Caenorhabditis elegans: one gene and its partners. The protein of the gene in region 3 purifies or fractionates together with the protein of the main gene of each other region. This does not show direct contact. Each region holds a gene or a part of one and is shown on either strand. Other genes may lie near its edges. The genes, in order: C48B6.2, K01A12.3 and F59G1.4.

Evidence for each region.
Region 1: the proteins of F59G1.4 (region 3) and C48B6.2 fractionate together in Caenorhabditis elegans (co-fractionation; one large-scale study listed by BioGRID). This does not show direct contact.
Region 2: the proteins of F59G1.4 (region 3) and K01A12.3 fractionate together in Caenorhabditis elegans (co-fractionation; one large-scale study listed by BioGRID). This does not show direct contact.

Annotation. Positions count from the first base shown.
Region 1 is NC_003279.8:6,914,952-6,922,162, forward strand, and holds C48B6.2 (U3 small nucleolar ribonucleoprotein imp3), read left to right. Parts: upstream 1-1,814; 5' UTR 1,815-1,832; coding exon 1,833-1,936; intron 1,937-1,983; coding exon 1,984-2,038; intron 2,039-2,094; coding exon 2,095-2,232; intron 2,233-2,280; coding exon 2,281-2,535; 3' UTR 2,536-2,610; downstream 2,611-7,211. Other genes in the region: haps-1 (Essential protein Yae1 N-terminal domain-containing protein), read left to right, coding at 108-305, 391-621, 726-830, 923-1,009; bbs-9 (Protein pthb1 homolog), read right to left, coding at 2,799-2,945, 3,291-3,379, 3,428-3,494, 3,544-3,696, 3,753-3,904, 4,087-4,173, 4,454-4,585, 4,638-4,736 and 7 more. UniProt on the Caenorhabditis elegans protein: Component of the U3 small nucleolar ribonucleoprotein. Required for the early cleavages at sites A0, A1 and A2 during 18S ribosomal pre-RNA processing.
Region 2 is NC_003284.9:8,616,229-8,629,470, forward strand, and holds K01A12.3 (putative G-protein coupled receptor K01A12.3), read right to left. Parts: upstream 8,963-13,242; coding exon 8,869-8,962; intron 8,638-8,868; coding exon 8,512-8,637; intron 8,312-8,511; exon of another isoform or gene 8,223-8,311; intron 8,138-8,222; exon of another isoform or gene 8,054-8,137; intron 7,842-8,053; exon of another isoform or gene 7,770-7,841; intron 7,608-7,769; exon of another isoform or gene 7,536-7,607; intron 7,448-7,535; exon of another isoform or gene 7,375-7,447; intron 7,237-7,374; coding exon 7,148-7,236; intron 7,058-7,147; coding exon 6,938-7,057; intron 6,196-6,937; coding exon 5,976-6,195; intron 5,930-5,975; coding exon 5,607-5,929; intron 5,552-5,606; coding exon 5,385-5,551; intron 5,309-5,384; coding exon 5,209-5,308; intron 5,156-5,208; coding exon 5,048-5,155; intron 4,486-5,047; coding exon 4,342-4,485; downstream 1-4,341. Other genes in the region: K01A12.2 (uncharacterized protein), read left to right, coding at 2,350-2,413, 2,550-2,696, 3,509-3,528.
Region 3 is NC_003280.10:5,891,174-5,902,233, reverse strand, and holds the start of F59G1.4 (LisH domain-containing protein), read right to left. Parts: upstream 6,065-11,060; 5' UTR 6,061-6,064; coding exon 5,994-6,060; intron 5,946-5,993; coding exon 5,873-5,945; intron 5,826-5,872; coding exon 5,717-5,825; intron 5,008-5,716; coding exon 4,915-5,007; intron 4,870-4,914; coding exon 4,761-4,869; intron 4,719-4,760; coding exon 4,610-4,718; intron 4,561-4,609; coding exon 4,434-4,560; intron 4,373-4,433; coding exon 4,289-4,372; intron 3,907-4,288; coding exon 3,732-3,906; intron 2,006-3,731; exon of another isoform or gene 1,906-2,005; intron 431-1,905; exon of another isoform or gene 168-430; intron 24-167; exon of another isoform or gene 1-23. Other genes in the region: rfip-1 (FIP-RBD domain-containing protein), read right to left, coding at 10,007-10,371, 10,457-10,635, 10,683-11,060.

The DNA of each region.
Region 1 (7,211 bases), on a different chromosome or scaffold from region 3:
TTATAACATTTAAAATTCCCCGTTTTTTTTCTAATATTCTCGAACTTGATTTCCGACAGTTCTTTCTTTTAATAAAAAATTATGTTAATGTTTTCAGTTCGCATAATATGTCGAATCATCACTCGAGCTGTTCTTCGAGAACTGGCGGTGCCCACCGTCGTTGTGATTGTACTGAGGATCTGACGGAAAACGATAAGCTGTGGAATGACTTTGAAGGATGTGCTCAAGCTGTGGCTCGTCTCTATTCGGACTCCTCTTGGAGAAATTTCAGAGGCGCTGCAGAGGGAACCACGCAGTTGTACAAAGTAAGGAAATTGTTTAATTTCATGAAAATCGATTAATATAAAAAATTCTAAATCGAATAGAAAATTTAAATGAATTTAATTTCAGACATCTACTGACAGTTATCGTCGAGGATTTGAGAAGGGATTTTCATCGGGTTGTACGAGTATTGCCAAGGAAATATTACAAGCATTTCGAGATCCATCCAAAATTGATATGAACATAGTTCTCGAAGTATTATACAGAAATATGGCAATTCCGCGAGAGGAACGACTTACCGTCAATACTCAAAACGGAATCTCATCCGACACCTTAGCGGCGGTTGAACTTTTTCAGCAGGTTAGCATTTTTTTTTGCTTTGAAATCTAACATATTGTTTAAACCCCTGAAAAATCGAAGAAAAGTTTTATGTTGAGGTTCTCATTTATTTTTTTGTTTTTCAGGCACTGAACCAGCCGCAAGTCCCACCGCTGAGCACATTGAGCCTATTGCCACCGACAACTAGAGAACAGACGACAGACACTTTGGACGAGTTTCTCGCTAGTCAGGTGAGCATATTTTATCTATAACTTTGAAAAATACATACAAAAAAAACGACAAAAAAAGTAAAAATTCCTGCTTCACACTTATTTTTTTAAAGGTTCAACGCCACCGAAAACGTCAGCGATCACCAAATAACTCAACGACATCTCCAACGTCACAAATGAAACGTCAACGACGTCTTTAAATCTCTCAAAAATCCTCATAATTCTCACTTTCCAATCTCTTTTATTAGAATTTCCCTTCTTTTCTAGTAGAAGAAAACTGAAAAACGTTGCCTTTGACACCGGTCTTAAAAACTCAAAAATGACTGAAAATCCCTTTTAATCACTGCTATTATTACTTGTTTTTGGAAATTTCGAAAGCATCGGGTCTTTTGAATCTCATGGTACTAATGCATAAGTAGAAATCTATTATCTAACCTGAAAATGCTTTCGTTTTCAAAAATAAGGAAATAAATTTTGACCCCAAATTCAATTTTACTCAGATTTTTTTACTTCTGTACTGGTTTTCTCTTCTCTCTCGCTTCCCCTCTCCTCCAAAATACTCTTTAATTCTCGAATTTCCAGTTGATTTTCAAACTTTTGAATACTTTACTCGGAGTGATCTTCTCTTTTTCGCGAAATTTTAAATTGTTTCTTATTACAAGTTCTAGCAAGTTTCAGGGTTTCATTCTCTGTGTAGATTTCAACCGTCGATCATTTTGTAAATAAACCGCCATTTCCGATTTTTCCTGTCTTCATTAATGCAATATTATTCTCTTTTCTAGTGTTGTTTCTCATTAATCCTCCCAATTGTAATGAAGCTATGAAATTTCTGATTTTTATATTTTTTGCAATCAGGTTTAAATGGTTCACAAGCCGAATACTTGTTAAATTCACCCAAACGGAAATAATTTTATTGAATTCTTGTCTTTATAATTCTACATTTAGTCAAATAAGCGTCTTCAAAGTTTAGTTTTTTTCTTATTTGTTAGAATATATGACTTTCAGACAAAAAACCCCGACAAAATGGTGCGAAAACTGAAAACCCATGAGCAAAAGCTGCTTAAAAAGACTGACTTTATGTCATGGCAAGTCGATCAGCAAGGAAAACAAGGAGATATGCTCAGAAAGTTGGTGTAAATGATAATAGCTCTGGAGTTTTATATTTATTTTTTAGATTCTATGTGAAAAAAAGAGAGCACTACGCTTTGTACAACACTTTGGCTGCAAAGGTTACAGTTCAAAAATCGGATAAAAATAAATATTTCTAATCTTGAAAATTTTCCAGAGTCGTGAAGTAGCTGATCTTATCAAAAACCTATCAGAATCGGATCCCTTCCGATCAAAATGCACAGAGGATATGCTCACCAAATTTTACGCAGCTGGACTTGTGCCCACTAGTGATACGTTGGAAAGAATTGGAAAGGTTTTTGTCCTGTTTCGATTTTAATTACACAAAATAAAACATTTTTAGGTGACTGGAGCATCATTCGCTCGTCGTCGTCTTCCAGTCGTGATGAGAAATATTGGAATGTGTGAATCAGTCAAAACTGCGTCAGATCTCGTGGAGCAGGGACACGTTCGAATCGGAACGAAACTGGTTACCGATCCAGCATTTATGGTTACACGATCGTCTGAAGATATGATCACATGGACGAAAGCTTCGAAAATCAAGAAACACGTCATGGATTATAATAATACTCGAGACGATTTCGATCTCATGGATTAATTTTTGTTTGTTTTTAAATTTTGATTTGTTGCTGTTGTTGTTCTCGTTGTTATCAATAAACATTTTCAGATGTTATTGAATTCTAAAATGTATAAAAATATTCACAAACTTACAAAAGCTTTTGAAATTTCATTCAAAAAGGCGGGTCTCGCAGCGAAATGTAGAGCTTGAAGTCGACATGAAAATGAATTCATGTTTAATAGAAAAACTATAAAAATAGAAATCTTCATTAAATTACTTAAATATGTTCTTCTTTAAATTAATTAAGCTGTCACTTGTTGCTCTTCCTCTTCCTCTTCTTCTCTAATTTTTGGTAATTCCTTTGGCGAGTGTTCACATAGTTTCTCAATCATTGTCATTTCATTTCCACGATCTGTTTTCACAGCCCATCGAAGGCGATCTCGTAGAGACTTTAATTAATAAAAAATTAGTTATTATACAGTTGTAAAAAAGATTTGACGAAAAAGTACGGTACCAGGTCTCGGCGCGATTAGACATCTATTGCTCAAAAGAGTTTACACCATACCACTGTGGCATTCTGGGTTCTGCTTTGTAACAATTTTAATCGACTTTAATATACTCGTTCTTTGAATAAAGTTATTTTCGTTACAGTCTTTTTTTGATTTTCTCGGCATTTATCATTTATTTTGAGTTTACAATGTTTATATAATTTTTAAGCAGGATAAGCTCTGCACATTTGTTGGTTAGTTTTGTCGGTTTCTTTATTAAACTTAAACTAAATATAAAAAAGTTACCTGTTGAGTATTTGCCCAGAAAGATCCATTTAAAATAGTATCCACTTTTGAAAGTTTTGACAAATCTGCTGCCAATTGGAATAATGAGTCTGAAAAGTTCTCGTGAGACAACTAAGAACAACCTACTTACTACTTACTCAATGAAGCCTTTTGATTTTCAATTTTTGCAGTTAAACTATTGTAACTATCCATTGCATCGAGAAGCTGCAAAACTCCCATAAATTAATTTCAAATTATTCACGATTTCCATTACTTCTCTATATGATTTATCAAACAGTGCATCCAAAGAAGGCAAATTTCCCATATTTCCAGTTTTACACGAATTCAAAGATAATGCTTCAATTGCTCGAACTTCTTTTGTTCGACAGTCAATTTTCTTTGAATCTTCCTTTTTCTTCGTTTGAAGCTGTAATATTTTTTGAAGGATATTATTTTTTCTTCTACTTAAAAAAACTTTAATACCTCTTGAATTTCATCCAATGTTTCTCTCATGTACTCAAATGGAATAACTCCTCCAATTTCAATTCCCGGCGCTGATTCAGCAATTCGTTTTACCAATTCCCTTGATGTTATTTGTAATAATGAAATATGTTCTGATTGAATACGGTAACGATCTGGAAATATTTCATTCTCCTCGTACTTCGAAGTTTCAAATTAACGCTTTCCATCTGGGCACAAGGAATATCGAACAAATTCCAAATTCCAAAAATTTAATAAAATAGGCTTCGGGCAGGCAAGCTTAAGGTAAGTACGTAGGCATACCTGTCTATGCTTTATTGAAATGGAAGAAACTTACTTGACTTGTTGGCTGCAAACACTGAAACTGTCTTATCAGAGCCATGAAGAGAAAATCCAATTGCTTGTGGATTTTCAGATTCGAACTCTAAAAATCATTGTTAAGATTTGAGTTCTATAAACATCGCACCTTAAACACTCAAAACTATCGTTAGTTAGCGCTGGTATTTTTGGAAAATCACTCATAATAGTCCATTATATACTAGCATCGTTAATATCATTAATAAACACTTCAAAAATTTTAAATAACTTTGAAAACGTTTGTCCTACAAGTATTCCAAAAAAAGTTAGTTGCTTGGCACATGTTAATTAATTTTCTATATTACAATAGTTATGCCTTTTGTCAGAATGAAGGAAAAATAGCTCACCAGAAAATAATTTATTCAGTGGCATAACCGATCCAGCTGTATCAATTGTCACTTTATATTTTGCATTTCTATCAATTTGTGATTCCTCAAACAATACTTTGAATGGCAAATCGATTGATTTGGTGACTGTTACTAAAAATAAAGTTATTGAACTATTTTAATTCGGTTAGTAATCTGAAATTACATTGGGTGAATGCGCAATGTGCTGCAATAGTGACTTTATTGCTAGTTGGAGATTTTTTGGATCCGACGTAAAATGGAATTTCAATAGATGCAGTGGACTCTGAAAGGTAAATGGATTATTAGAGTTTCAGAACAAAATAATTTTTTCAATAAATGTTGAATTGAGTTGCGCTTTCTGTAGATTCGAAAAGTATTAAATTTATGCAACAAAAATTACAACTTTATATGTTTTTAGATTTTTCCACTATCAACGTTTCCAATACTTTTTTTCAATTTTTAAATTTACCATAACTGTTTTTGTTCTTAGGAACAAGAGTTCAATGTAGAACATTGTTATAAACGAATTTGTTCCAGACCGAAAGTTTATGATAAAAACTTACTTGAAGTCCCCACATTAAGAATTACTTGTTTGGATGGAGAAGCACATTCCGATAGAATATTGATGTGAAGTTTAGAAACATTTTGAACTTCTGAGAATTCTACAATAAGGTTGCAGTATGGTGCATTGCTTGCAGCATTTGGCTCAATCTAAATTAATATTTGAATAATGTTCCAATGAACAAACTTACAGTTCGTTTACCAATTTCTCCAATGCTCAGCTTCATTTGAATTCCTTCTTTTCTTTTGATAGCTCCACCGGCTGCATCTGATTCCTTGATTTTTTGCTCCATTCTCTTATATTCTTCCATTCGTTCCGCGTAATTTACTATCACTTTGTCCTCGGGTAACTGTAATTTTTTTGCGATAAAAATAGTGACCGATTTGTTTCAATTACCATAGGTCTACTGTATCTGTTAAAATTACTTCTAGTTGACACTAATTTCGAATATTATATCTTAAGTCTAATTCTATTAATATTTGAACGAAGATAAAGCTGAATACATATTAGAAAAGATTGTGCAGCGCCAGTGTGAGAATTGTTAAAGACCACTCTTAAACAGTCAAAAATGAAAGTAAAACATTAAAAAAAAAGTTTAAGTATGATTCTTATATTCCAAAAATTTGGCATTTTGCCAAAACTATAATTTTCGAAAGCTAAAAATGATTTATCCTGATACTTGATAATTTTAAATTATAAATGGCCCTATATCACATCTATACAAAAAAAAATCTCACCCTATATAAATTTGGCTCGGTTCCAAGATATCCAACCACAACTTTACCGTCTGGTGCCATCATTGTAATGGTATTCTCATAGGATTTGCTGAAATATTAAAATTCTTATTTTAATTCTAGAAATGTCAAAAACTAACTTATAAGAGCAAACTAATAGTGCAACTGGTGACATTTGAGCATTACAGTTCCATACAAGTTTATTATCTTGAAATATTAGCAATGTATCGTCAGATGTTGAAACTATTAAACGATTGAATTGAGTGTTATCTGATTGAGAGTAAACATTAATAAAAGTTTGAAAATATATGAAATCTTACTAATCAGAAGTGATCTATAAAGACACATTGCCATTCCAACAGCTTCTAAACGAATCTGCCAGACAACTGATCCAGTTGCATTAAATGCAGACACGTGTCGGCGGCATAATACAATGGTTGTTGGTTTAGATCCTTCGGTTACTTTCATTTGTATTGCAGTATCACCCAGATTAAAAGACCAGTCATACTGAAAAAAAGAAGACTCAAATTTACTGTCAGTGTAAAGTCAGCATATTTGAAAAAATGTTCAGCGTTATCAAAATTCGACAGCTTGGGTTTATTATTTGTAATTAACTCAATACTTTTTAGTTTCCCGATGATATTGGACATTCGAAAAATATTCAATAGTCCACAGCTTACATTAATCTTTTTCTGCGATCCACTTGACATAAGACTGAATTTGATAGCAGCTAAGAATCCATTATTTGCAACAAAAAGAGTTTGTGTAGTCTGACAGTAACCGATTGGTCCTGGTTGAAGAGCTCTCAATGGAACCATTGAAAAAACACATTGATCTCCTTGAAACAAAGATAATTTACAATCAATTGATTGCACTAATATCTGTGGAGTTGATTCTTCAATTGGTATTACACACATATTCCATGCAGATGTTGAAAAAGAATGAGAGAATATCTCATCAAGTGATGCGAGGGTTTCATCAGGACTTGCTGAAATTTTAACCATTTCGTACCAGGGCTGTGCGGCTGTCGGCTGTCGGCATCAGCCGACAGCCGAATTTTTTTACCAGCCGCACAGCCTTGTTTCGTACTTGAGCCTATTATTTTTTGTATATTACAGGATGACCCGTATTTATTAAGACAATCCGAATCAAATATTGTATTTATCTCTCTTTGAAGTTAAATAAACATGTATCAACAACTATCGGTTTCAAAATGAAAAGACTCAAAAATATGGAGCCTGTCAAAATAGATTTCATAGTTCGATTTATCAAAACGTGTTTTATATTAACGAATTAGAAAGATGTATTCAATTATTAATGTAATGTTGGATCAGGAATATCTTGGAGTTGACCTAGTTTGCAAAAAAACAGTTTTTATGATACCACATCTGTTTGTCATAATTATGAGCCACTCTGTATGATAAATAACAGCTGAATAGATACATAACTTACCAAAATGAAC
Region 2 (13,242 bases), on a different chromosome or scaffold from region 3:
AAATCGTTCTTTTGCTAAATAAATGAAAATTCATGCTTGACTAATTCGATTCTTACGAGTACACACACGACTCCCTAAGGGTTCTTGACGATGGGATAAAGGGTTTCTTTTGCAGTCAGAAGGCACCCGTTAATTTGAATCCACTTTCCATTTTTTTCCTCCCATTTCTTCATCCCGATGGCTCCGCTGATGTCGGGTTTTTAGTTTCACTGTGATGTTAGATTTGTAAAATGAAAAGGTTAACACAATAGTTATTATCTATGAAAAAGTTAACGTCATATGTATAGATTCTCAATACTGATAACCTTTTCATTTTAAACTCTAAATACTGGAATATCAAGTAAATAAATATCATTCTGTCTGATCATCAATGTTCTGATCAAGTAATTCTCCTAAAGCACATGATCAGTCTACCTTCCCCAAGCATATTGTTTTTCGGCCAACAGGTAATGCAAAGATGAGAGCTGTAAAGCAAGCCGTATGCTTCTCATAACACCGTCAATTAACTTGTGCGCCAATTCTGACAACTCGCGAGAGTTTTTATTTTTTTGTTATCGCATAATTATAATAGTCGGTTTTCCTCTAATCGCTGAAAAAATTCTCAACGTTTCGTTGAGCATATGAACTCAAAAGTTTAAACATCCCATTTTATTTTGAGACTTTTTAATTCCACCAAAGAATTAAAAACTTTAATTATTTGGCTGTATGATAAGCGCGAGTTAAAAAATAATTTTTAGTATAATAAAATAAAAACGTGTGAAATATTTTGTGTTCGTAGGCTTAGAAAAATTGCACTTTTATGTTTAAGAGAAAAAATAGATATTACCGTATTTTGAATAATGAACATTTCAAAATATTTTTAGAATGTTTTTTTTTTCAAATTCGCAAAACTGAATTCTTCTTTTTGGTAAATTCCAACACTGACAGTAACATAATCTAACACAACTTTGAAAAGGTTTTTCCAGTATTTTTTATTGTAGATATTGCTACTCATCATTGGATTTGTGGAACCTATGTAGTGATAGATAGATATTTAAAGGTGGAGTACCAAAATCTGGGACTTTGCTTTTTTATACCCAAAATAGTCCAAAACTACTGAATTTCGTAATGAGACGTTTTTAAAATAACTCAAAAAAAAAGTTATGGTGGTTCAAAGTTTTGGAAAAAGTAGCCCATTTTCAGCTAAAATCAAAATTTATTTTGGGTATAAAAAGCAAAGCCCCAGATTTCGGTACTCCACCTTTAAACAAACTTAACTTAAATTTTGAGGTAACTTTTAAAACATTTATCTCGCATTTTTTCTTGTGGTTTTTGTTACATTTACTAATTTTTGGTGTTTCATAGCAATTAAGTTTCGGAATAATACACATGTATCATGTGTTAAAAAATCTATGTTTCGTGTCAATAAAGCATATGTGATCGTTGTCTACACATTAACATCATTGTCTAATAATATTTCATTGTTTCCCATTAAAGCGAATAACTCTACTCCTGCAGTCATACTTTATACAAGTTCCATGAAACTTCTCCATACCCACATACCTCGGCTATATCAACATTCACTCAGAACATGTGACACGCCAATTTACCAGATTAGCCGTATCTTTTGTTCAAGTTAAATGTATGTTAAATGACAACATTTGTCTATTGCTGTATTAGAAGTATATCACTTTTTAGCTGCAACGTTTTCTAAAGAGCTATGGTGATTATTTTTCAATAGAATTGTCACATTTCTGAAATCAGATGAAAAAATTAGTGAAGATTTATCAGCGTCTAACTGAAACGGAACAGAACAAACCTATCTGTTATTCCTTTAAAATCTAAAAATTTTATGGGCAAAGCTGAACAATGTAGTTAATATCACACCCAAATAGGTAGAATATTTTTAAAACTGTATTTCAATATTCTATGTACAACTTTTTTTGAAATTTTGGAACTTTCCGAATGTTTGAAATGCCCAAAAATTTGATTGGCCTCACAATCTACAGTATTATCGTAAACACTAATCTTGAACCAAAATTCCAGCCACATGTCTCAGCTCCCTTATGAATTCATTGTTGATGTTTTCTTAACGCGCTTATGTATGTAACGTGTAATTATTTTTGTGGTTGCTTGCCATTTATAATATGAACATAAGTTTGAACTCTGATTTCCGAGCTCCGCCTATCTTCTACGTTTCGATTCCCAGATGCGGACAGTCAAACGACGTCTTGCTCCCAGATTAAGCTTTCCAATTTGGTTTTCCCACCCAGACTTCAGATTGCTGTTCTTAATCTTTTTTCAAAGTGCGTATTTTTTGCAGAACTTCTTTCTCGACCCGCCTCTTCATCATTCGACAACGACGAGAGAATGGGAGCGTGCTCATCGTGCTTGCGTCTTCTGCTCGACGCCGAATCCGACGTCAAAATCCATGGTAGGTAATCCGCCCAGAAAATCTTGTGTTCACGTATGTAAAAACCAAAAGTTTGAACTTAGAAATGTTTGAGTAAAGTGGTAAATATATGTAGACTACACGTTTTCGAAATATTTGTAATTTTTCAATTTTACAGTTATCGAACCAACTTCGATCAACAATGGAGAGGGCTCATCAGTAGTCCATCGCGACGCAACAGCACCACCAACGCCACCCGTTGTGCCAACCTCAACGTTACAAGTTCCAGGCCTCCAGAGAGCGCGCACACCGGAACCCAATGATCGTAAGTTTTGTGGGCATGCTAACAGAGCAACTGGCTGATTTAGTGACAACATTAGCTTTTTGACGGGTCTATACTTTCAATCATATGTTTCACGCCTCGCAATTTAAATTTCTGTATTTTAATTTTGTACGCAGCTGTAAACATTGTCAAGAAAGTAAAGTGGTCTAACGAAAGCTAGTTATAGTCAATTCCATAGTGGACATCGTAAATCGTAAATTTCTTATACAATTTATAACACATTTTCAGATAATTAACGCGCCCAATTTTCAAATAAAGCATCACTCGTTTGGAGTTACAGCCAATGATTTTGATTTCGCATGCCTGAAATTAACCAGAAAACATGAGTACGTTTTTACTAAAAACTTCTATATTGCGGAAATGACAATAGTACAAAGAGTCTACTTAAAGAATGGATAGCACTTTATAACACCGTGTTAATTGAACTCAATTTGTGATAATGTTTTAATAAAAAGTGTGCAATTTAAATTTGACTAATTGAATGCGTTCTAACGATTGATCAGCGCCAGTAGATAATTTGTTAAAAACCAATCCTATGGTGTCAAAATGATTGAACATCTTAGTCAAAACAAGGCAACTTTTTTTGTTAAATGAGTCGGTAAAATGAACTTAAATTCTCTTGTACCAATTCTTTCCTACACGTTTCATAAAGTCAACAAAAAGAATGCAACTTGCGTCATTGCTTTAATTATCCGTCAATAAAAACCCTCCGGGGACTACTAAAGTCCAAAATATCAACCTAGAGTGACACTCGCCTTTAAAAATAAACAACTTCTTAATTTTTCAAATTTCAGCACGTGTGGCCAACCTGTAATTATTTACTCCTCGCATCTCGATTCATTTCATCCGGTCTCAGCTTCTTTACTCCTTTTAACTTAGTTTAATTAATCTATCAAGTTTTTGCCCATTTTTTTTCTTCATGGACTGAGCATGTTGCAAGCCAATTTTTATTTTAATTTTATATTTCTTGATACACAATAAATTATTTTCACATGACTCTCTACAATTTTGAGCCGCTAAATAGTCGCAACTTACATGCCTACTTTGTGCCTACCAGAGTACATATGCACTGCAGAAATAATCATTTTTTGCTTAATTTGTATTTTACAGTTTTATTCTAAATAAATTACTTGAATATAGGCAATAAACTATTTTACGTACACTATACAAGAACCAAACGTTAATGTTAATATGCAAAAGTAGGCGGCAGGTAAGCACGTAGGCTTATAAAATTTCCGCCAAATAAGACAATTTTACAAAGTGCAATGTTTTTCAATGTTATAAAATTTGATTATGGCTTTATTAGAATGTCAATTCATGGTAAAACATGGAATAAATGTGTGATAATGAGGAGATGTGGTAATTTTTAAAAGTACAATGAAAAAAGAAAACCGAAAGCTATGCAATCAAATTGAAATATCACAGTCGCGAGAACTCTCTTTGTTAGTGCACAACACGGGAACACACAACAACATGGAAGATTTTGTTCATATGAACTCACAAATTTGGGTGACAGATAGAAACATGTAAAAATGGTAATTTTGGCAAGAATCAGATGTTCATAGATCATTAGAGAGGAAAAAGAGATCATCAAATAAGATGTGTAGTTGGTCATCCATTAAAATAATTAAATGCTCGCTTTTTTGGCAAATTTCACCCAATGCTCAACTGTTTGCCGCCCCAAATCTAGCACGATAGATTTCGCCTCTCGTTCGCTGTCAAATCGGGATGATCCACCTTGATTGTGAGCAGATTCCAATTCTTTTGTGAACTGTAAAAAATTAATAATTTCAGCGGAACTTTTTTTAAAATTTACTGATACTAATTAGAATGGTTTACACATATTGATGAACTAAACTCTGAAGAGTAGATACATAAAAAAAACTTTATTCCAATTTTTTTTAAACAGTAACATAATCGAGTTTTCAAGATTTTCTCAATAATGTTTTGTTTGATGCAATTTATTACTCCATTTAGTTTTAATTGTTGGATGGTATGTATACTAACTACTCTTGAGCATTACTGCCTTTCACCTTTATGAGTTTAGTCATCACTTTAAAAATTTTAATAACCGTTCTTTAAAACGTATTGAAAGTTTTGTCTCAAGCTGTTTTCGTGTACAAAAAGTAATGGGTTAAATTAGAATAACTTTTTTTTAAATGAAAAATGGTGCGATTGAAAATTTTTCAATTCCGACTCTCGATACCTCGCTTGCTATGCATTAAGTTTATCAAAAAATATGTCTTTTTTTTGGGTATAGATTAAAGCTTAAGCTTTAGAAAAGTTTAGTATACCATTTTAAATTTTGAATAACTAGAAAGACAAGTCCTTACCTCTGGCTGGAATGGTTCATCATCGCTACTTTCCCTCCATCCCTCACTGGAATCGTACAATGGGTTGACTCTCATTATGAACTCGCATAGCTGCTCAAAGTCTCGACTCTTCAAATAACAATTATAAAAGTTTAAAGAATATGTGCTCGTGCAACACTCACCTGCATTTGCAGTGAATTGCGCACAAAATTACCGTCCCTGTTTGTACGGCCCGATCGAGCTGATATTCGCGTCGATTTCATTCCAGCTGCGTTGGATCGTCTGGAAATTTTCGAAATATTGAATTAAAATGTCGTGAATATATTTTTTTAGCATTTCGAAAAAGAAACAAGCATACTTAGAAACATTATGTCGCCCATGCATTCTGAAGGGGTGACTCGATCTTCGTTTTCTGATTTGATATCGAATCGCCGCACATGTTAAGATTTCTTTGTATGTCAAGCGCATTCTGTCATTGAAATATGCATAAATAAATGGGTTACAGGTATGATTGCACAACCATAACTGAAAAAATAACTTTGCAAGTTTCAATTTTAAGTTTAGAAGTTTTGAAGCTTACGAGATGAAGAATAACTAATTGCCACCCGGAAAGATATTCAAATGCATATGGTTTGATGAAAAAGAGAAATGTAGAAATTGTGCACAAAATTGATGGGTAGAAGAATTGAAACGTCAGTCGAGCCTTGAAATTGCCAGTTACAATTATTTCATTGAGCGCTAAAATTACCTGTTTCCTGAATCTGTTTGCTGAGTTTTGATTAAGTTTGTTTTTGCTGATTTTCTTTTTTACTTGACGAATTTTCAGCAAAACCAAAGTTGAGCACACCCATTGAGCTCCAAGACCGAGCAGATTTGCAGCGCAAAGAAGTGTGAAAAACAGGGCTAGAATATCAAAAATTGTACATTTTTAATTAAAAGTGCAACATACTCGTGTGAGGTCTTGGTTCTAAAAAACTGATACTCCACATAGTTCTCTGTATTCCAATCATTGGCTGGGACAGTGTTCCAACAAGTGCCGCTGCAATTCCGACTATCCATGTACTTGCAGAACAAGCAACAGCAACTGATACTTGATTGAGTGCTCTTGCTTTAGTTCCATAATAACATATTGCAATGCATCGGTTCGTTCCTAGCATTGCGTAGCTGATCTGAAAATATGAATTACTTTAAAGCGTTAATTATAGAAAAAGTTTCAAATTTTTTATTTAAAAAATTTTCTTCAGGTTAAGATTTTTCTTTTCGCTTGGAGAATGTTATTTTAAAGATATTAAAGCAAAACTTAAATTTATTCACTTCTGGAAAAATTAATAAAGGTAGGTTTTTTCTTGGTACAAGAGTGAGCTGACAAAGCCTCCTGCGGATAAGAGATTTGTCAGGGTTACAGGTGGCGTTTTTACCTCTTCTCGTCTCAAGCATGCCCGATTTACCTGCCTTGAACCAATTTCACTACCCACTTTCCGAGCCGGCTTGGTGAGCCTTTGGGTTGGGTGGGGTTGATCTTACGACCTCTTAGGTAAAAGTGCTACACCACCACCACTTAGACACTCGTGCCCCCTAAAACTGAGTGTACTAATATTTTTTGAAATATTTTGTAATGTTTTTATAGTTAAGTTAGTTTACTAACAAATATTCATAGATTCTGAGAGGTAGGCTATAGTTTTTTTTTTTTAACTTTTTTGCAAAACAAAAAATTTAGGTATTCAAAGAACTTATTTTTTGGAACAAGATAGTGTTCTTTCTGAGTTGAGCCCCCTTTTGTTAAATATATGTCTGCAATTTTTCTTGCGAAAAGGAAGTATGTCACTTTTTTTTCATATTTTCTCTGAAATTTAATATTGGTGACATAGAGGCCCGCCTTCACTTATGCATATTTTGCAGTTAAACACTGACCACTCCAGCTGTCCATGCAGCGACAAATGAAAACGAGAGCACCGCGTGAATATTTCCAGTCTCGAAACCAGCTGCTGATGAATCTGTTTTTGAGTCGTTTCGGAGCGACACAGGGGCAATCTATAATAAAACGTTCAGATAGTGCAGCTTGAACTTGAAAAAATTAAGAGATGTCGAAATTTCCAAAAAATAGATTTCTTGAAAAATTACCTTCTGGTATGGTTCTTCAAGACTGGGAATGAATGACGTGAGATCATTTGGATTTGGCCACATAACATCCATCCCGCATGCTACACCAGCTGAAATTAAATTCTATTATTTTAAGTATTTTGCAAAACTTAAAAAAATGTGTTTATCATTTTGAATTTTGAAACAGCAAATTTTTTAGGATGAAACTATTCAGCAAACCAACTTAAATCGAAGAAAAGGTAAAACGTGGCCGCGTGGGGCAATGGATAACGCGTCTGCCTACGGAGCAGAAGATTGTAGGTTCGAATCCTGCCGTGGTCGTAACCTTTTTAAAATTCGTTCTCTCTTTTTTAGGAGTACGGTTTGCCAATTTTTCAAAAAACAAAAGTCGATGTGTCAAAAATTATTTAGGGGGCACCCGGAGTTGAACCAGGGACCTCTCGATCTGCAGTCGAATGCTCTGCCACTGAGCTATACCCCCATGTGGTCAGCAAATATTTGACTTTTTTAAGAAAAGAGAGAGGGAATTGGCGGACAAGAATCATTGCAGAAAAGATAATGATAAATGGAAATCAATCGGGCTGAAGTAACAGCGCTCTATTGAACTACTTGCTAGGTTACAGTTGTTGTTCAAAAAGTATTTAGGGGGCACCCGGAGTTGAACCAGGGACCTCTCGATCTGCAGTCGAATGCTCTGCCACTGAGCTATACCCCCACATTCGTTCACGCTTTGGGCTTTAGAGAAATGATGGACAATTTGTTGAGAAAAAACCAAAAGCTGTGTGGGAAATTGGACAAACGCAGACACGGTCAGTTGTCCATCCCGGCGTATTTGTCCTTCACGGAGAACGTCCAAAACAGTTTATTTGGTCATATCTCCGCAAAATGTCAATCATTTTCCCGTAGCTGGATCACTTTTGTACATGTGGGGGTATAGCTCAGTGGCAGAGCATTCGACTGCAGATCGAGAGGTCCCTGGTTCAACTCCGGGTGCCCCCTATATACTTTTTTCTTAATTTTGGGATTTTTTACCAAATGACTGCAAGCCGTACAGCAGAAAATGTATATTAGCCGAAAACATCGAATAAAAAAATTTAAATGTTTTCGACCACGGCAGGATTCGAACCTACAATCTTCTGCTCCGTAGGCAGACGCGTTATCCATTGCGCCACGCGGCCACGTTTCGGTGTGACTCAGATTTCACTTTTTACCCCCTAGAAACATTTTATCAAGTTTTTTGTGATACTGATGATCAGGGGTGAGCGGAAATCGAATTTTCGGCTATTTCGGCAATTGGCGAAATTGCCGAAAATTTCCGATCGCCGTGCACAGCAGTTGATGATATTGTAAAAAGTTTTCAACTACTAATTTTTTGTGAAAGTTACCAATTAACATGACAATACTGTCTGCCAGTGCTACATTTGCCATTATTGTGTATGCGGAAAGGCGAAACACTCGGTTGGTCAGAATCATGATAACCGTTGTTACATTGCAGAAGACTCCCAAGAGACCTGCAAAAAACTTTTGTTCGAGAATTTTCATTGTATTTATAGAGTATATAGGTTTCTCCTAGTCTCCTAGTCCCATCAGTAATAAGACCCATCAGTAATAAGCACTTGTAAATGATTCACTGTGCGCATCGAAAAAAATCCCGGAGGAATTTTTTTCAATATTACCAAATAGAACAAATGAGAAAATATATTTTTAATGTTTCCAAAAAAAAACAGTACGCCCCGACTTACCAACAGCTGTGTATGCCACACCGACAATTGAGATGTATGAGTCGAATGTGAAAAACGAGATCATATCGGCCCGATGTCTAGTAACCGACTCCATTTTTCCTTGCAACGCTACCACATACCGTGGAACAATTGATCACTGTTACTAAAAAAATTGTTGAAATTGGAAAGTAGAAATGAGATAGAAAATAAGAATGGAGCTAGAAAATGTGGGTTGAGTCAATGAGCTAGTAGAAGAGGAGGGCATGTGCTTGAGAGCTCAAGAGCAACTATTGAATGTCACTATTTTTCAGTCAAGAATTTTTAAAGCTTTAACAGGCCTGCCTACGAGAATGGGAACATTACTTGCCAAAATGTTGTCTTCCAACAGATTAGTTAAAATGAGTGAGCGTGAAATGTGTCAAACACCGAATACTGATTTCAAAAATAGAAGATAGGTAGGTAGGCACGAATGAACACGTGATTGCCTGCTAGGTGAGATTAATGACAAAACGAAGTCGAAAAAGAAGACGTTGTAAACTAAGGTAAACAAGATACTGGAAGTAGCTTATCCCATTCAAACAATATTCCATTCAAATCTATAATTTTTTAGATTCATAAGATTTCATTTACAGAGGAGTATATAGAAAATAATGACGATATTGAATGTTTTGTTGTCAGGGGCGTGCAATTGCAATTATTGAGCAAAAATCTTATTTCCTTTAATTTATGGTGAATGAGATTTGGAAAAAAAGTGTTGCTTCAATTTTCCAAAGCTAAAAGCTGAAGCGTATTTTATTTTCCTAATAAATTCGAAAATTCCGAAATAGAGTAAAATTGCCTACAGACCAGACACAATAATTTCTTTTAACATTCATTTGACAGTGGCATTATCAAACTTCAAGTCCTGATTTTTTCAGAATGAAAAAAAAAACAGCTGAAACTTTTCAAGACAAGAGTCAAGTGCGTCGGACGGTTGCCAAGAGCTGCAGACACGTATACATGCATAAATGCAGCTGGTACTAAACTTTGAAGTGCTCTGAGGTGATATGTTTTACAATAGGATATCAAAATATATATAGCTTTTTTGGGTATTGTGTAAAACAAGGTTTGAGCGAGTTTAGTAACCAACTCGATACGGGGAGCCATAAAATCGCTCACACAGCGCTCCAATATCTAAAAGTGGCTCGGTTTCTTTTTTCTTTCAGTGTCATGGTGTATAGCTTTTCAACTCAGTGAAATTATAACTTCTGGTGAGAAGGGTGGCATTTATCTTGTATCCAAGCACCCTTCAATTGACGTTTCAATTTTACAAAAGTGCTTGTTTTGGTGTTTGAGAATGAGGGAACATATAACGTGAATCTATGGGGATTGTGGTGTAGAGGGGTTAACCTTTTTTTTTAGCAAAACTTGAGAATCGCCTTTAAACTTTAAACAATTTGAATTCAAAACCTTTTTTATTATCTAAATGTGCTTCAAATTGCTTCAAGTGGATCTAATATATAAAATATTAAAAAAAACGAAAACCCCTTTTTATGGAAAAATTCTTTTGATTGATGAAAAGTGCGCAACACACAGCTAATAAAACGCAAAAAAGAACAATTACGTTATAACTAAATTTCGGACGCTACAATACATGTAAGAATAGTTTCAGACTCCAATTACAGTTTTCTTTTATTTCTAGTCTATCAAAGTTCTAACAAAAATATGTCGTTGTAGCAAAAATGTAAAAAAGAAAAAACTACAGAGACGTAAAAAGCTAGAAAGCAAAAAATTAACCAGAGAGTCTGTTTTAGAACTCTCAAGAAATTATTTTAGCCTTTATGAAAAATTAAAGATTAAGGCAACCAAGTAATTTGGTCATAACATTTTACTGGTTAAAATATTTTTTCAACAAATAACTGTTACAAACCTTTAAACACTATCACCAAATAATGTTTTTGTTCCACATAATATTAAATTTTATATTCTGGCTGGAAGAATTGTGTTCATTATAATATACAGTTTGAATAACTTAACTGGACACTAAACGCGATGTTGGTTAAAAATGGAGTTCAAAACGCTCAAATAATATAATTAAAATTCACACGTTTAAAGATTATTAAGTGTAGTTTAAGCTTCGGTTAAATTTTCAAGTTTATGAAAAGTTCGTAGATTTTTAAAAACTAGACTAAAGAAAGATAATTTAAATTGTGAACTGTCGTAACAAAAGAGTAAATTATTTTATAGGCTCTGACAAAATGCAAGGCACAAACAAAAAATAACATTTTTGGTGCAATACAAACCAAGACTGACTAATTATTGACTGTGCGCCTGGGTGCAATTTTGATAGAATATAAGGTGGTTGTCACTTTTTTTATACAAAATTAAATTTTAAAAAAACTTTTTTGAACAGTGTTACTTTGATTTTTTAACGTTTTCTGGGTCGTTACTCCAACTCTGATTGAAAATCTCAATTATTTTTTCATGATATACTAATCTACCCAAGGAGTGTTCCAGAGTTATCTAGATTGATAAGACTTTTCCGAGCATTGCAAGGTTTTTCCTATTCATCATGGCGTGTCCGATCCCCTCCCTAATGCCACATTTATTTTCAGAGAACCTATTTCTATGCTTTAATGATATTTTATTTTTGTAACCCGCAAGATGCCGGTTTCCGGAAAAACAGAGAGCAGGGGTGAATAAAAGAGAAGAGACAAGCGATCGAAAGGCGCACATATCAAATGTGAGAAGTCTGTGTGGGGAAGAGTGGATGAAATCTCTCCTAACCTCGTTTTTCACTTGCCCCTCCTTCTCAAATTGACGCTCTCTGAACATTGTTCGTTATGCGTAAGGGGTCTGAGGTCACATTTAAAGTAAGTTAGCATGTAGTAAGGTGGCTCTGAAAATATCCATCTTAAAGAGGGATCTTTGATACAAAGTATTTCGATGAAGTACAATGTTCAAATACTTATTTTATTATCGTCTTTTTGCTATTGAAATTTAGAAAAAATCACTACAACATCCGAAAAATGTATAGATACTACGTACAAAAAAATATAGTTCACTCAGCAAATTTGCTGTAGTAACTTTTTACGGCAGGTGGACGTTATCAATTATCTTTGAAAGAACCTAATTTAAAGGTGGAGTATTCTCAACTGTTACTAAAATGACTAAATATAATAGTAAATCTTTTGGAAACTGTTTCGATTTTCACAGTTGACGTCACAGTGGTCATCTATCATGATTTTAATAGTAGACCGATATCAATTATTTCTACAAGTTTTTGTTCCAATAATTTGATTTTGAACATTGTACATTGCTCACATTTTTTGGAATGTTCGATTATGGACATGTTTGACTATTATGCAAATGTATACGAAATTCCAATCAAATTTACTGATGCTAACAATACCAACAAATTTTCAATTTGAGCTACCACCCAGTTATATAGGAAATTTCAGAATTCTAATTAAACTGGGTGGCCCCCGGATACTTCACGGCTTCAACAATAGTCTTGAAATCGCGTAAAGTGCATCAAAATTGAAAAGCTCAAAATAGGGGTGGGGGAGCAAAAAGAAAAAGCAGTGAATATATCTTTATATGAAAAAGGATAGAAGAAGGGCTTGAGGTCTCCCCCCCCCCCCCCCCCCCCAATGTCTCCTGTCGCCATCCGGACTTTTTTGATAGACGATGAGAAGAACAAGTTGACTAGTGAGTTGGATTGAATACACCAATCGTTTTCCTTTCCTAGTTTTTTGGTTCTTGTCGCTCGGTTTCTTCCTCCTCCCAGTTTTCCGGAGTCAGTTTTGATGCAAAACGACGAGTAAAACCAAATTTGAAAGACAAGGACACTTCATGAAATAAAAGGAAAACAGAACAAAAAAGAAATTTCTCTGAATATGCCGAAATCAAGTTTCTTGGGAACGTCACTCCACTATAACCTTCTTTTCAGATGAGAGAGCGCGTGTAAACTTTTGGTCCTGCTAGTCTCTCTCTCTTACTTCTCAAACTTATCTTCCCACACAGAATCAGCGGATCAAAAAAACGTCAATTTCAGTGAAAAAGTGGTTTTCGAATGTTTTGGAGTGGTCCTTTTATGTTCTGATCAAGTAATAATTGTTTGCTCTCAAATGTTCCATTTTTCATAATGTTTCAGTTCAAAATATTTATTGTAGCCTGTGAATCAATAGATTAAATAAAATAAAAACACTTCACTTAGCTTTTTTTACTTTAAAATAAACTTTTTTGCTTATTAAAACACCACATACTGAGAATAAACGGATTCTCAATCTATTCAAGTACTTTATTTAAACTGATAAATGTATTTCAAATGTATTCCTATGTCAGAGAGCTCAAAAATGATTTTTAAGTTTTTATTCAAAAATTAATTTTAAAATGTGAGTATACGTAAGTACT
Region 3 (11,060 bases):
ACTCTAGAAATTGTCTAGAATCTAAAAACTATAAGATTTATTATATTCAGGAATAGTTTAGATATTTGAAAGGTAAGTGTGATGAGTCCGACCGATTGTGGTAGAGTCTATTGGAAAGAGTGACCGAAAGGGTCTCTGGGAGTGATGGGGCGGAGGATGGATGGACATGGGAGGAGTAGCTGAAGGAGGAGGATCGAAAGTAGAGAAGTGAAGAGACTGGGTCATTCGGTCGCTTCGTCGTTATTCTTTTTTGCCGCGGTCCCCCCGCGCACTGAGAGAGAGGACAGACGAGAAGCGGAAGGCACACGCAGCAGAGCACGGAGGGACACGAGCGCGGCGCCCCGCAAGCCTTTCCGTGAGGCTGGCACCACCACCGCTTGGCGACGCGTCCCCGAAATAGTGTTAGGTGCCACAGAGACGTAGACCACCTCGCTCCCCTCTCATTTTTGCAGTAAGGGAGACTCGGCGTCTCGTCGACTTTTATTGTCTCTCACTGAGTATCTAGCCTTTCAGGGCGGCTGTTTAGGGAGAAGAAGCGGTGCGGAGTGAGCGCGGAGTAGAAGAGGATGAAAAACGAAACATAGAAAGAGAGAGAGAGGTCGTGCAATTTTGATTGTCCCCTGTGCCCATTTGAACTGGACGGCTGGTACACATACACATTCGTTTTCGAAATTCGCCGTCTCTAGGAAGGGGTACCAAGACATAATGGGTGGGAAAGGTCGTTACAGTAACCTATGGGAAACTTCTGAGAACTTTATCTAGTTCTAAAACAACTGTGTTCAGAGAAATTTCAGAGAAGATGAGCATTGGATTGGTTGTTAACAATAACATTGGTAAGAGTTGGTGTACTCTACTAAATTGAATTTCTGCTGAAAGTTGGCAACACTTGTTTCAATTCTACATCATGATTTTGAGACTTCTAATCCTCGAAAGTAGTGAACTTTGAACTATCCTCAAACAAGGCTTAATGGGAAACACTGAATCAAGAATATGATACTGTATGTTTTATTCTGACCTATAAAATTTTGCAACAAAATTTAAAAAAATGGTGAGCTTTCCTATTCTGAAGCTTAGACTTTTTCCTACCTTCACATATAGAAAATACGAATAAAATTGAAAACTTTGCCATGTTGACTTCAGCTAGTAAACAATACATGTTTGAAATGACATTGGGCGTTTGGCGTGGCGGTGCTCGCGCCATTACTGCTTATCAGTTTACTTTGAAAGAATGGCGTAGAAAGAATGACACGGTAATACCTACATGCACATAAAAATTTGAATATATGAATCCTGGCACATCTTTCTCTTGAATTTAATTGTATTTAATTGAATTTTAATGAGCCAGGTGGTTTGGATTTGTCATTTGACAAAATAGCTCAAATATTCAATGGCAACAGTCAGAAAGAGGGGATAAGGAAAGGGATATGAAAGCCAATGGCAGTGTTCTTCTGGCCGATGGCGCCGCGTCCGTCATGCACGTCCCTATCTTAAATTCTCTTATTTTTGAATGCTCTCTAGATAGTGTCTAACTATTCTCGGTTCCACACAATCGAACGTAGAGAACACCCCTTTTCTCGCTCAAAACTATCGATCTCGTTTCATAACTACCTCGTGAAATCCCACAGTTTCTATGTATTTTCTACATTTTTAAAATAGACAAAAAAGCGATCAAGTGGCGTCAGACACAAATATTTTCCTCCTGAACCATGTGATAGAATATTGAAATTTGAGAGAACACAAGAAAACGAGTAAGGGGTACGGTAGGTGATTAGTTGGTGGAGTGAAAGAGAAGGAGAAGAAGAAGAAGAAACTGTAGAAGTCTAACTGGTTTTTCGTTGTTTCATTTCCCTCAAATGGGTACATGAAAAGTGACACTTGCAAAAATATGCGGAAAACGGCGCTGGTGAACAGTTCGATTATTATCAAACTACGGAATGGGCAGGACATGAACGACTGGCGCTGTGAATAGTGAAAGTAAAACCTCCCGGTTATCACTCAGGTATTGGAAGAGGAAATATCAGTTGAAATAGGGAAAAGGCAATGCTCTAGATTCAAATTTTTATTAGAGTGTTGAAATTGTTTTGCACATCGGTTAATGTGTTCATTTTCTATTCCAATTTCAATAACCAGAAAATATGATCTAAAACCAGAATAGAAAATGCTTCAAGTTCCAAATTCCAAAATTCCGTATTTTCACTATTAGTATTTCACCTTATTGTTTAATATAGCTTAGTTTTTGTTTGCTTTATACAGAAATTGTCAACAGATAAAATATTTGTTAGTTATTTTTCTATAGCTCTGTAATTAATTAATTGTAGATACTTTTAGAATGATCCGAGTTATAACCATTCAAAGTCTGGTGCAATACTAATAGAGAAACTACGGTAAATCAATTGTAAATTATCTGTTCACTGTTTTTTTTATAATTCATCTATGTGCTCAATTTTCTTTAAATTCATAATATCTATAAAATAGTTTAGCTATCATCAATTAAATGGTTCAGTTTGAACTTTTTAAAGCTGAATGGTTTTAGATGGTATTAAAAAAAACAAATTCCAAAATGAAAGTCTTGAGACACTTAAAATTGCAGTGAGCATTTTGAGAACTTTAAGTTGCAAGAAATCTTAGTATTTTATCAGGAGATGGCTGAATCATCTTAAACTAGAATCCATTTAACCAAAAATCAACTAGATTCTAAATTTAAAGATCGAAAAGTTCATAGAGCGGCTATTCATTGTTGACACATCATCCCCTTTCACTTTTGTTTACTCTCTTTTTTTTTTTGGAATCGAGCAAAATATCGCAACATTAACTTCCTTATTATGATTATTTATTTATGTTTTTTTTGTATTTCCTCTTGCACGACCGGAAGAGCCTAAAAGGAACGGTCAGATGAGTGCAAACGAGAGAGAAATCTCCATCCTTTCTCTCATTTTCTCTTTCTATTTTCCCATCCCGGCGCGTCCAGGCACCCGTGGACTCCTCGCTCCCTTTCATTTTTTTTTTCGGCTGGTGATCCGAGAGAGAGAAAGTGAAGGAGAAAGTAAAGGAAAAGAAAAACCAATTGGTCACCTCAATGGGGGGGGGGGGGGGGGGGTTTACTGACCGACTGACCTCAATTTGTGCAAGAAAAGGGAAAAAAACGAGGTGTTGAGAATGAGGATGCAAACGAAAACGAATAAGGAAAACAAACAAATATTAACGGCGCCGCGCCTTTTGGATACAAAATGTAACGTCTAGTGTCAAGGGGTGTAAGAGTAGAGATGAACAGAAAAAAGTTAGGGTCTTTCTGAACTTTAGTATACTCTCAAATGGGCCCATAGGATATAGTAATTTTCAGTTACAACGTGATAAAATTATTGGCTCTCTGTAATCCAACAATTCAAGAAATTTCAAAAATATGATAGTTTTTCTGTCTTCATTATCATTTTGTGAGTTTTCAAAGAAATTAACTATAACCAAGACATTTTATTGAATTAAAGAGTGTACTACTGGGTTATGGGTTACTACGACGGAGTTACTGATAAATTTGGGATTAAACACACTAACAAAAAATCATCAATTTCAAGGTTTTGGTTGGTTTATGGTTTTGTTAAATATTATAATTGCAAGCACATTTTTGAAAAATACTCAAATTTTTCAAATATTTCCTTTATATACTTATCTGACCAAATTATCAAATTTTTCTACCATATGCTTTTTCATTCAGTTTTCTTGTTACAAAAACCCACCTTGATGAACAACTGCGATTAAGAAAGGTATGTGAAGATTGCAAAGCGGACACGTTCTCCGAGTTTCCAACCGGATACGAATAGCCTCAAGAAGCTTTGTATCTTTGGCACGAAGACGGATACGTGGACACGAGAGTACCGAAAGGAGAAGAGTGTTGTACAGAGAGCATGAGGGCTGAAAATTTAAAGATATTAATTTGTGAATAAGGGTAATTAGTTTGAAATAAGGGGTTTTTAATTAAAATTAGAATTCAAACTATTTTAAAAGCTCCAAATTATTTCAAAAACTGGAGACATTTATCTTAAAAACTATACAAGCCACCCGACATTAAGCTGACTTGTGAATAACGAATGAAAGGAATGGAGCAGCAAACACAGGCGCCGCTCCTTATATGGCTCTTCATGGCACGAGAAAAACAAGACGGAGAGGCGCCTAATGAGAAGGACGCGGGACAGAAATGGAGCATCTTACTGCTTATTTGAAATACGCTTGAACGCATTCAATAATATTGAAAATACTATTAGTTTGATAATATCGATGTGAATTTAAAACTCACTCCATGTGTTATCTTAACTACCAAATTGGCAATCGAGTTTGCAAAAGAATCAGCAAGTCGTGTAATTAACGGATGGCTCAATGACTGAAATTGGAAATTTTTAGAACAATTATATTATTTTCAATGTTAGATTTCAGGAACTTACATTTGTTGACAGATTGACAATAAGTGCTGCGAGATATTCGAATGCGTAATTATTAAGCTTCTGGTCCAAATGATTCACCGCCCATTCCAACATTCCACTTTGAATCAACTCCTTCTGACAAGTTGCTCTACAAATTTTAATGTCATGTTAATTATTTTCCCTTTCAATTTTCCTACCGTATACTCATTTTCTGAACACATGCAATCAACTGATCATGTGTTGTGGATGGGATCCGTTTGCCACGGAGAACAGCAATTAGGCAAGGAAGGAAGATTTTGTGATGAACTGAATTTTAATTTAAATAAATTATAAATGTTTTTCAAATACCTGTAAAGTAACTGCGACCACTGGTATAACTGGCCATTGTGTTGATGAGCCTAGCCATTTGTTCACGGGAATCTACACCATCGGCTTGCAGAACTCGCACAAAAAGGCTCTGAAGTAATACAATCATTAATCGAAAAATGATTTTTATGCTCACATTTTTCTTGGATTTTAACATCAATACATCATGTGATACCATCCATTCCAAAGAGTCTCGAACGTATTCATCAAGCGTGGCTACCGACATTTGCTGAAAATACGATGGTTTCTATGTTTGCATAGGGTTTAATTGAACATGTTTTATTTGAGAAACCTTAGCTTTTTCAAAATCACAATAACATTTAAATAACGTTTACAAGATAAATTTTTCAGCTCACATTTAAACGTTTGAAACAAAAAATAGCAGCAGAAGAACAATTTGAATTAGAAAAAAAATCGATCTGCAACTTTTCAAACCACTTTTCGAGCTACTGGAATGATTAAAAAATTGCCTTAGTACATAAAATTGTACTGTAAAATTTTCCGATCGACTTGTTCCTTCCTATTTTAATTTTAATTTTAATTATTTCCTATTCTCTTTCTAAAAAAAATCGACGTCTAAATGTGATCTCGAACACTTTCCTTGTAAGTAGAGTTTTTGAAACTACAAATACTTGGAAACTCATTTTTTTAATCTTTTTTCCAGCTCTAATAATCAGCTTCGAGTATCAACCAAACAAGTACATATTCAGTTTATAATCAAAACTTTTCACCAACTAATTATACGTTTTATCATAAGATCAACTATACGTACTCGTTAGGCTACATAAATCAAAATTCTGAGAAACATGCTAATTTTTACGTTGCTTGTAAATCTGATCAAGAGCACGGAAAATTTTCTAGAAATAACTTGAATGGAGTAATTATTTAATTCTAGTTGTATATTAGCTATAGTTCAGCATTCTCCATTTTATTCTCACTTGTCTTAAAGCTTGTAAAATTAAAGCAGATGATCTTGCTGATGGATGTCCTCCCATCAAATTCGTTAATTTCTTGTCATCAATTTCTCGTAGTAGACAATGAACGCTTCTAAAATTTTTAAAGTTTTCAATTCAATTTTGTTTTTGAAAACTCACACATCCTCACTTCTACTTCTTGCTCTAGGGTCTGGAGGAGCTTCTTCAATTTCATCAAACTCGGATCCACTTCCTGCAACTCAAAAAAATAATCAATATAATTTATTTTTAAATTAGATACTTTTTGGGCAAGCTATCGTGGTAGTTGGCCGTTTCGAAGGTGGTTTTCTTGCAGTCGGAGGTTTCATTTTCCTTTAAAAAATAAAGAAGTTTAATGAGAAAAAGAAGAAAGAAAACATAACTAAACGCTCGAAAAACCACGATTAATTATAGATAAGCATGAAAAATGCAAAAGAGCACTTATTGTTTTCTTGTTTCTCCTTTTTTGTATTTTTTTTCTTTTTTTGTTGCATTTATGAAATTTGAAAAAAAGTAACAAGTCGAAAAAGAAAAAAGACGCGGCGACATAAAAAAGGAAGGTAAACGATTGTGTGAAAAACGGAAACCTACGAAGCAATTATGGCTCAAAAACTTGTCCCCGTGTCTCTGCATCAGTTTACTAGAGACACTTCTGACAGGTGTTTTGAAATCTTGAAATCTTTGGAGACTTAGAGAGAAGGCTGGCACCAGATTTAGAAAGGAACCTTGTGATAACAAGTATAGAGACTGGAGAAGTTTAAGAGAGATGAAAAATCAGTTTCCGGTTAATTAGAAATGAAAGCAACGGAGTAAAAACAAACGTAAAAGCTAATGAAGTCAGAATAGTAGACAAAAAAGTGTTCAATGAATTGTAGTTTTGTTGTGGGAATAAAAAATTGGACTATATCTACAAATTATGTTATTTGCGAGAAGTACATTATCCTTTCAAAAAGTGCATAGGTCGATAACAATTTCCTGTTCACAAGACTCAATTCTCAAGAGGACTAGACTGGAGAACATCAACTGTACCTAAAAATCAGATGTAAGCTATGAAAAACTATTCAGAAGTTGGACTTGTAAGAAACCAGAGAATTATAAAAATTTTGTTGAGTAGTTACGATAAAGTTCAAAATTCAGGCCGTTCAAGGTTTGCAAAAAAAATATAAAAGCGTGGTATTTTTCCTATATTCTACTATTAAAGAGTAAAAAATAAGGATTTTTTGGAAGTCACTTAAAACTATTTATTGCAACGTTTAAGTAAAATGTCCTTACCTGAAAAGGAAATTAATTTAAATTTGTGTAATTAATGCAAAAACTTTAATAAAAACACTTTGAAGCTGAAACTTTTGCAAAAAAAAAACTCATAGGAAACTCTAACATATCTTTGATCTTATCATATCAATATTTTATAATTAGATTTCAAACTCAATGTTTGCCAGGCACCATGTAAACAGATCAGGTGGTAAGATGATGATTTCGATTAAGCAGAGAAAATATAAATAACTTCCTTGTTATTAATGAAATGTCAAAAAAAACCAAGCAGACAAAAACACAATTTCATAGAAATCTCAAGAACTCATTACCTGATATTGAAAAAAAAGCATGTTGAGAAAAAAAAGGAGAAGTTTTGGATTCCAAGAAAAAAAACGAAAATAAATTTCGATTCAAACACCAGTGAGGCCAAAAGTGGTCCGTATTAAATCATCAAAGAGCACGGGAAATGGGGAAGTTGCACATTTGCTCTGTGATTTTTCTAAAATTCGTCTCCAAGATGTTTTAAAGTAACAAAAATGTGAAAAATTAGTCTTAAAACAATTACATTCCGCGTACGCTTTATTGGGATGCGGATTTCTATTAAGCATACCAGACAATTTCTTAGAAAAAAGCAAATTAAAAATACACAATTCAAAATTTCCCACAAAAACCAGAGCAGAAGTTGGCGTGAAACTAGAAAATGACGAGGTTATGTGAATCATGGATAGACCTAGAAAAATAGGAAATAGAGATTTTGCAATGATTTGAAACTTTTATAGAATCGTGAGAGAATTTAATTCTTATTACAGTATTGATAGTTAATCTGATTATTCACAATGAAAGGTTGATATTTCATTCTAGACATTCCCATGAAAATAAACTTTCCAATGATGTAGATGTTATCAGAAACAGAGAATGACTTCTCTCTATCACTCTAAAAATATCTTCTACTTTAATTCAAAATTCACAAACACTTCTTGAAAATGAGAAATGGGGAAATGAAGGACCCGATGGAAATGGAGAGAAAAGGTGTCCGTCCGTCCCAGCCGCGTGCCTCCGTGCTCTTTCTTTTCCTCTCCCTCTCACGGACGATTACCATTGAAATGCGGGGCGGTGAGCCGAACAAACCGACGACAATGGTTGCCGTGACGACGTGTTGCTTACCTTTTCATCTTTTATCTTTTCTTATTTCCTCCTCTCACACATCTTGGTTTCTTGGTTGTGAATTTGTTTCGAACAAATCAGAAATATAGTTTCGCGTTTCTGGCTTGAAAAGGTCGAGTCTGAGGTTGACTGGGAATTGCGAAATTTGGATAAGCTGATTCTTTGGAAATAGTTAGAAGCCAAGTAGTAGAGGATTATGGGAAATTTTGATCTTTCAGGACAAGAAGTGTCTTAATTAAACTTACCCGCTGCCAATTCATGATACTATATTTTCTTTACTAGTTTTGCGTGCAGGGACTAATTCTCGATCAGGACTGATGTTTACCAAAACATTCAGAGATCTTGAGAGCAAAAACGATTTATTCAAAAGCTCTAATAACAATCTTTCAGTCACTCCAATCACCTTCCACTGACGCTTTTCAATAATTGATAGCTTCTGGTTTATTGTACAGACAAAATACTACAGCTCTCTTGTTTTCCATTCACTTGTTTACTGCCCAATTCCGTAAGTCATAAGACTAGAGACAAGCCATTTTTTCAAGATAAACGGAAAACAGCAGGTGAAATGAAGTTAGTAGTTGTGATTGAAAGTTACTTTAGAGAAGAAAACGTTGGTGATAAGTTTATAAGTTAAATAAGCAACGTGCATGTTCTAATGGTAAGCAAATCTTGATCATAATCATTGTTCACAATTGGCAACCTTATTTGGTTGAGTTCTTTCATAATAAGTTCTTATCGACAATATTAATTCTGAGAAGGCTCAACGAAAGGCCAAGTTTAGCCAGCTCTTCTTAATAATTGAGCAACGCCAATCGATTCAGAATTAAAAATATTTATTTGAAACGGTAATTTACTTCTGATTGTGAGAACAAAATAATCTGTGAAAACACAAAGATTGTTCGAATAAAAAGTTTGACATGCAACTCAGGATTTTTCATTTTTTAATACCAATTTTTCCTGGTTTCCTGTTGAGGAACACGCAAAACGCCCACACCCTTCCCTATTCAACTGATTTAAAGAATCTAACGACGCATATAAAAACATCACAAAAAACCTAAAACGGGAACAGGTAACGATGCAGAATTGGAGCTCAGTTCTGTAAATGTCAATGAGCAAAAATTTAACGATACTAATATGACTGCGTTTTCCAAAATATAGTTCAGGACATAGTTAAAAAAAAACAGTTTCTCGGTAGATAAAAAAAAACTGTAAAATATTTGGAATACGTAGTTAAAAGAAAGTTTGAAAATCAGCAGGCTCCGTAGAAAAGAAACGATAGACATGATTATTTCCAAAATGAAAATGACCAGTTGAATTCTTGTATAATACTCAGTTGATGAAGAAGTATTGCATGTCTCATCTTCTCCCTTTATAAATTTTTTTGTTCTGTTTCCATTCAAAATGCATGGTTTTGAGAAAATGCATGTTTATTCTTCGTTTTTGTATCTTCTTCTTCTTTTTAAACTCTTCTTACACAGACAGAAATTTTAGTGAAACAACAATAAAAAGCTCGATTGAATTCAAAAATTGGTGATCGGCACGGAAAGAAGAGAAGAACTATCACTAACCATGAAAATGACAAGAATTTTCAGAAAAGACAGACGGAAAATACAAACACATGAATATAAATTATAAATATTCGAGGGGGGAAAAGTCGGAAAAAATGATGGGCAGAAAAATGCTATATATCACAAAATGTATGGATCATCAATGGGGTGCGAATGGAAAATTATCGTTGGGCAAATTGAAGTTTTGAAACAAAAAAAAATGTGTGTATCACTGGGGTAAAAAGGTCCAGAAAAAATGGGGGGTCGGAGGGGGATCTCAGTCTCAGATGTACATATTATGGATGGTATTTTACCCGTTAACGGGATCTATCTGTGACGTGGCACGCAATTCGAAAATACTGTTGGAGGGGGTAAAGGGGACTAAAAACGAGGAGATTGTACAAAGAAACATTTGAAGTAAAGCATTTTGAAAATCACAGGGATGGAGAAAAGAAAAAAAAAGACTAAATGTTGCATGCCACGTCACAAGGAATTGAGTGCCAATCGTTGATGACGTCATGTGTCTATTCATCCCCATCGAAGAAACGATGAGGGAAGGTAGGCGGAGATTCTTGCTGAAAGTGTCGGTGATGATGACTCTTCTGGAATCGATGATGACGACGACGTTGGCGAGGACTGAGATTCTCCGGCGCACCGTCAACTTGGAGAGGATTCCTGGAAAAAAATACAATCAGGCTGGACAAGATCGAGTACGACTTTTTTTTTAAATTCAAAGAATATTGTAAAATTCCACTTACACCTTCTTCTCCGATCTCAAGGATTTCTGGATGCCTCTCAATGACACGCATCAGAATTCCATTGATGTAGACTCGAAGCTTCTGATTGCAGATTTCCTGCTCACGAAGAGCATCTAGAAGCTGAGAAGAATCACCACCGGCAAGTTCATCAGCAAGTGACGGTGTATCGGCAATGAGAGATCTGAAGAAAAAATGTTTTTGAATGAAAACTTTGGAATGTCAACTCACCTTCCCCGTTCTACAGAAGTAGCCAATAATTGATCAGTCATTTCTTCTTTTTCTTTCATTAGTTCTGCTACTTTGGCTTTCAAAATTTCAATCTCTTCGTGCATATCTTCACGATCAGAGATACTTTCAGATCGGGGACCATCTACTTTTCTCCTTAATTCTTCTGTTTCCAAAGCCAACACTTCAACCATTTCACTGCTGGAATCAATATCTTGCTGAGCTTCTTCTTTGAATTTTCTGAATTGTCGTTCCAATTGAATTCGTTCTTCTTCCATTCCTTCTACAAGAAGTTGAGCTTCTTCAAGTTTATTTTCAGTCTTCTCCAATTCATTTCGAATTCTCTTTGTTTCTTCATTTGATCTTTCAGCATCTTTTTTC